Linked DNA regions of Coturnix japonica. The protein of the gene in region 1 interacts with the protein of each later gene in a pairwise test. Links are inferred from orthologs where the notes say so. Each region holds a gene or a part of one and is shown on either strand. Other genes may lie near its edges. The genes, in order: TNIK and CNKSR2.

Region 1 (3,825 bases):
TAGAACGAGAAGTGCTTTAAGGTACTAAGTACAGCACAGCTTCTGGCAGGTTATATAGGAGAAAGGTCTCAGTACTAGCGCTGAAGTAGATGAAAAGGGAGAGAAAAACAGCAGGTCACTCTCCTGCACTTTCTTGATACAGAATTCACACTGCAGAAGGGGAGGGGACCTTGCAAAATAACTATGGAAAATAAAGCCAGCCTGATTTCACTCTCTGTGGTTGAAGCAAGCAAACAAGGTTAAAAAAAATCCCCTAAAACCTCAACTCTGCTTTATTAAAAGACATTTGGTGAGCTTTCTACAACGTCTGCAATGAAGCCTCCCAGGATAAGCAGTATTAATGCTTCATTGGTAGCCATAAGCGGCACATATCACATCTCTACGGCTACAGGCTTCACAACATTTCTGCCAGGGGAAGTACAGCGATGATAAGGCTTTTGAGGAGAGGTTTTGTTTGTGTCCTTGGGGTCTGAAGGCCCTGGCACCGCACAGCAAGACTGAAAGGAAATCCTGTGGGTGCTTATCTTCATTGGTCCTCAAGAGGAGCCGGACTGTGTAGGCAAAACATCTTCCTACACCACACAGTATAGAAACCTCATGTATTTACAATCACAGAGTATTGTGGGAACAAGGCACACATACCTTAAATGCCATAAACTTGTGATATGGTTTAGGAGCCCAAGCATAGATCTCTACAGCATTCTTTAAGGCAATCACCAGGAACTTGATTCTTTCGTATTTCACTAAAATTAGAATAAAAGATGTTTAAAACATTCTTTTTTTGCTTCAAGACAGCACAGTTTATCTCCAGAAGCAGCTGCTAAGGCTCTCTGTTGGTTCTCATGCAGTAGTGTCCACCTAATACATACAGACCAATAGTAAAATTATTTCTGGCTGCAGTTTACCCATACTTTCAATAGAAATCATCAGATCAGATCTAGGGCTACAGAATAAAAATCCCCAAAGACTCCAAGTATCTTTTGCTTGTAATTTTTGCAGCACACGATCAATGTGATAAACTGGAAGATGTTTACCAAGGCATTTTATCACACAGGCTGTGACTGAGGCACTCCCAATACTGAGGAGCAGATGAGCAGCCCTGGGCAGTCCAGTGAGCATCACCCTCCCCAGGCTCAGAGCTGTAGGCACACAGCCCCTTCTCATTGCTGAACCTCCCAGCTGCTCATTTCATGGCTGAACTGGGAACTACAAATGCCTCCATGTGTTTTTGCACCACAGCCTCCCACAGCATGGGAACCCCAGCCACTCACCGACTTTGTAGTGGATGCAGCCTTCCAGGTCCCCAACTGTGATCCAGCCCTGCTTCTTCTCTACTTCAGGGTCATTGTGTAAAATCCTGTTTCTCAGCCAGGAGAGATAGTACACTCGCAGCTTATTCTTCTTTCCTGTTGGCAAAGGAAACTCAGCCGTAAGAGGCAGAAAGAGGTAACAAAGCAGCACGCAGCCCCAGGAACAGCCCTGGGCTCCAGTCCTCTGTGCACAGCCACGCTGGGTTTGCATGGGAAACCCTGAGATTCCAATGTTTATTTTCCCTCAAGGAAGATAAAAGTAAAGCTCTTTCCACAATGAAATTGAAAAGCTTCCCAGATTCGATGACCGACCATCCTCTGCAGGATTCCCACATTAATTTCCACATTCTCATTTCCTGCATTTGGAACCAGGTCAGTGATGGGGTGAGAGTTGTACCTGATATTGTCACAAGGACATTCAAGCCCTCGAGTACGTCCATCTGCTGGAACCGCCGTCTGTTGATTAGGTTGTAGACCTTCCCTTGCCCGCTTCGGTCCAGCAGCATCAGGCCATTTTCTGTGCCCACCAGCAGATTTACACCTGAAACAGAGAGACCAATGGGCACAAGGAGCCACGGCTGCTGCCCACCAGAGGATTACAGCCCAAGTTCATTCTCTGCTATCTCTAAGTGACAATTGTAACTAAGGGCAGCATTCTCATAGACAAGAAGCATCGTTCTTATACTGAAGGGTCCCAGGGACATAAGCCTTGCACAAGATAGAGACAACCACAGCGGGACAACCAGAGGCATGAACCAGGTTCTGCCATGAAGTATTGATGCTGCATTGCCATTAAGCTCATCTGAGGGGACGATGTAACCAGGAGCTCACCCCACAAAGCAGCACACAGTATCTCTGAGTTGAAGCGCTTCTTATACTTCCTTATCTCCGGGGTGTCACTGTGGGGACGGATGTTGGTGGGGTTCACGTTCACCACAGAGATCTTCCTGGCTTCATTCAGCTTGGCCTGCTCCTGTCTGAGCAGCTCACTGGTGAACAGTGCTAACAAGGAAACAACAGGACAGTGAGGTTTGATTGGTTAATGGAAGCAAATTCTTGATTATTATTATATGTTATATTATATACAAATATATACTATTATCTATTATTGTTTCTTTTTTTTTTTTTTTTTTTTTTTTTTTTGACAGGGATGTCATCACTCTGTTATAATCTGAAAGTTTGGAGAGATAACAGCAGTATTTTCTCATAGGTTGGAAGCAACACTAAAGCGGTAACAGGCAGCATCCTCCAGCACTGCCCACAGGGATGACCAGCCCTAACCCTGTCCACATGCATCTGTTTTCAATGAGTTCTAAGGAACTGCAAGCTTTTTGGAGTGAATGCCACCTCCTGGCTCTGCCAGGAACAACTCTCCCAGGTGCCCAGGCAGAGAGGGATGGGTGGACTTCTGCTATTCCGAATTCTCTCTTTCTGGGGTTATTTCACTGGTGATGGGGAGAAGGAATTGGATGGAAATTGGAATGTACAAGGGTATAAACACAAGAGTAAATGAAATCTGAGAGGTTCAAGGGGGTTATTCAGGCTTCACAAAAGGTCACATTGTCTCCTACCAGTAGCAGATGACTCTTCGTCCTCATCTTCATCTTCATCGGTAGGCGAGGTCTGATACACTCTGGTGTCCACAAAGGGGGTGAAAGAAGCTTTGGTGCTACTTCCCATTCCATACTGCAAAATAAAAAGCACAGAGAGAGCTCAGAGCACAGAAATAACACTAACACTTGGTGTGTGTGGCTTTGCAATGGGAACACAGCACCTGTCCCTGCAGCGCCCTTTGTGAGCCCTCTGTGAACATTTACTCCTCCTCCCCCAGAAGTCATCATGGATGACATTCCATTGGATTTGTGGATGCCTCTGGAGCAGCAGAGAACAAGAAGTGCAGGCACAGGGTTGCAGTGCCCAGTGCCACGGGCTTGGCTCGCAGGTAGAAGCACAGCACAGCCAGACTGGTTAGCGGAGAAGCCGCAGTGTCAGAGGCAAAAGTGAACGCAGGGCTAAACAACTTCTCTGAGCACAGCACACCTGTCTTAAAGCCCAGGATGGGACATCAGTGGTAAGGGGTTGTTTCTCCTGTTAATGCAACTGCCCCACATGAGCCCTGGGGAAAACCCCACGGCAGTGCTCAGCATAGGACAGGGAATGAAGAGGTGAGAACACAGCACATCCCACACTGCTCCATCCTCCCCAGCTCTGGTCTCCACCACATGTCACTTGTATGGCAGGGATGGGTTACTTGCAATTCCAAGGAAGTATTTTAGATTGTCTACAGCGTTTCAGGTGAGGCTGCAGAAAAAGCCATTTCTAAGTCAGGAAAACTGAACCTGAACATATTGTAGGGAAGGCCAGAGCCAACACTTTACCAAGGGGATCTGAATAGGAACAAATGGCAGCACCACGTTGCTTTCTTTTTAAAACCATTGCTTTGTTAAGGCAGAAAACAAAGCAAAGCTTTCTCCCAAGCAAAATGACAGCCTTACTTGGGAGTCAAAGTGCCACC
Region 2 (3,046 bases), on another chromosome or scaffold:
TAGCCTGCGAAACTTCCTCCGTGAAGGCCACAGTCTTCCAAAAAATGTTTTTAAATACTTCTATCTAATAGTTAAAGTTCATGTTCATTATTTCACAGAAGGTAAACACAGGTGGAGCATTGGTAGTGTATAAAAAACACAAATCCTCATTAAAGACATGGTATCATAGACCATTAAAAGTGTACTTCACACAGTTGAGAGACATTAAAAGATAATTTACTAGAAGTCCCACATATTGATATAAAACCTAATATATGCACTTATTTAAAGGCTCGGAGTGTAGCAAATGGAGGGTCCCTTATACATGTGTTTCAATGTAGGAGTGCGTGTGCGCTAAGGAAGCTATAAGTGCGTCAACCTCAGATGAGCCATTAACAGAGCCCCTCGGGGTGCTGTTGTGACAGATGTCCAAAAAGATGTCAAAGTATATTTGTTTCCATTCTTGAAAGTCTCTAGATGTCAAAGCTGGATTATCCAGAACCTTGTCTATAATGGCTACTTCTCCTTCTCTGGCCTGTGGGAGAAGAAAGACAAGTAGAGTCAGTGTGGGCAATGAGCAAACAGCATGGGTAGGGTGGGAGCAAGGATGCCACAGAGGTCTGGGAAACAGGGCTGCTGTGATACTGCTCATATGTGGCAGCCTCTTTCCATGATGTCACTCATCACCCTGCAGGACTGGGCACTCCTCACTTTGTCCCACACCCTCAGCAATGGCCCCTACTCCCCTCTCACCCCTTGTTCAGCTCCTACAAAAAAAAAAAAAAAAAAAAAAAGCCCTGAGCTGTTTACTACTAGCTGCTTTAATTTTCAGGATCGGTTTCATGCTGCCAAGCGCCATCTGTTTGCTCTTCTTGATCAGCATGAGAAATACCGTGTTTGTGCGTGGGATGCAGACAGATGGCCCCTCGCCCGCCAGCAGAGCTAAGCCTTTTTTACAGGGCCTGTCATGGGGACACCTGAGCAAATGCCTGTGCTAGGAATCTTCAGCTTGGTAATGTCCTCACCAGCAGTTCATGCTGTGGGGTGGCTGGCTGCTACCTTCTCCTACCATGGTGGTGGCAAGCAGAATGCAGGAATGGGTAAAATCTAACACAGCTGTTGGCACCTCCCCACTTGTCACGGGGGCAGGGGATGTGGCTGTATCCCAATCACTGACTGGTGATTAGCTTATTGAGAGATGACAAGCAGCCAGCATGGGTCAGAGCAAGCTGCAGATACACACACAGCTGCTCACTGTTTTTATTAGTGGTGGAAGATGGATGCACCAGCCTTGAGCCTGAAAGAACAAGTAACAGGCAAGATCCAGCACTGCTCCTTTGTGTAGGCATGGTCTGGTCACCAGGAACTTCTCTATTCCCCATGTCAGATGGGTTTCACAGACCTCACTTCTAACTGACATTTGCCATGTTTATTCTGCAAATGTGGTAAACCTCTCTAGGGAGCATGTTAAGGGAAGTATTCAGCAATGTCAGCTCATGTTGGTGGAACAGTTATCAGAAGGGTCAGAGATGTCATTAACAAGTAGTATGTTTAAAGGTATTTTTCATGCTTTGCAATCAGTAGCTAATTAATGCTATATGCTAGAATACTCAATTTCAGGAACAGCTGTGGCTAACCAGAGGAAGATAACCTTTGGAATTCCTCAGTTACCATATATTTGCATGAACTGCCATAACGTGCTTCTTGCAGGTTGTCACCTGTACACACAAACCAGCACTGCCATACTTGCTGAAGAGAATGGTTTTGTGGCTATGTCAGGACAAAGAAAGCAGAAAGGTCTTTCCATTGCTGATGGAACAGATAGCCTATGGGTGGTGTGAGCTAGAACCAACTTAGAGGGCTGTACAGATTACTAATCATTTTAATGAATTAAGGGAAAGTTCAGAACACCAAATCCAATGGGCAAGTGCAAGTGAACATATTCAGGAAGGAGAACTCAATGGCATTGATCAAAATGGGGTACAATTGATTAGCTAACAGCAGTAGCTCCTGATAAATGCTACTACCAGTACAATAGCAGAGGTGAGCTAGGATGGAGCTAGAAACAATTAATGAGTTACCGTGATGCCTCTGCAAAACAGGCACACGTCACGTTGCACTGTTGCCATATGCAAGAAACAGCAATAATCTGTCTTTGATACTTGCTGGCATTGCACTGTCAATTATTTATGTCATTCTGGTCCAAATAAGATTGGTGACTAGTTCAGAAAATATGTGTCATGGAAAGAGAATAAACAAATTATGTTTGCTTGGTCTAAAAGAAAGAAGATACAGAGAAGTATGAAAACAAGCATCTGCTGGGTTAAAGGGATGAGCTGTTTTTAGAAGACCCTGGAGAGAAAACAATTCCATTTGTAGAAAACCACTGGCATAATGTAACTCAGGTATCAGTAAATGCTAGCAAGAAAGGCAATTAAGCATGATGATAAGCTGCTGATATGGAACAGCAGCAAGGCTGTGTAATTCCTGCAAGTATCAAGAAATGTGTTATTTTTTATATTTCAGATTAGCAACTCTAACATACTGTTGGCATGAAGGATTCCACCAAGGTGCAACAGCAGAGATTCTGTGTGAATTTCCTACCTGTTCTGCATATCTGAGGTGGCTATGATTTTGCTTCAGTTTCTCCTGTAAAAATTACATGGAAAGCCTGAGCACCTTGTCTTTTTGCTATCAGTCTACAATCTAGCAAAGACTCACATACCCTGGTTCATTCAGTTGCCTTCAATGAGATGATACAGTGCAAAAAGTTAAACATAGAAAAGACTTTCTTCAGGGCTGGAGTCTCACAGCATGAAAATAATATTGCTTAAATGCTTCTCTAGGTGATGGAAAACCAAAGTAATTAATGCTGGTAAAACTCTCTTTGATAAAAACTGTTAGAAAATCCACTGTACAATTATCTAGTGACTTAAAATGTAGTAATTTAATACAGTTAACAGAGACCCTGGGGAAATCCAGCATATTGTTTGCTGAAATCTCTAACAGTACAGATTTGCTGTAACGAATAAAGAAGCTGACAGGGAGGTCAAATTAGCTTCACTGC

The links.
Region 2: the proteins of TNIK (region 1) and CNKSR2 interact in a two-hybrid assay, tested with the Homo sapiens proteins (2 studies listed by BioGRID and IntAct). The link is inferred for Coturnix japonica from reciprocal best matches to the Homo sapiens genes TNIK and CNKSR2.

What each region holds. Positions count from the first base shown.
Region 1 is NC_029524.1:17,419,667-17,423,491, reverse strand, and holds part of TNIK (TRAF2 and NCK-interacting protein kinase), read right to left. Parts: intron 2,997-3,825; coding exon 2,882-2,996; intron 2,313-2,881; coding exon 2,142-2,312; intron 1,852-2,141; coding exon 1,708-1,851; intron 1,407-1,707; coding exon 1,272-1,406; intron 744-1,271; coding exon 643-743; intron 1-642. UniProt on the Homo sapiens protein: Serine/threonine kinase that acts as an essential activator of the Wnt signaling pathway. Recruited to promoters of Wnt target genes and required to activate their expression. May act by phosphorylating TCF4/TCF7L2.
Region 2 is NC_029516.1:106,570,786-106,573,831, reverse strand, and holds part of CNKSR2 (connector enhancer of kinase suppressor of ras 2), read right to left. Parts: intron 515-3,046; coding exon 299-514; 3' UTR 1-298.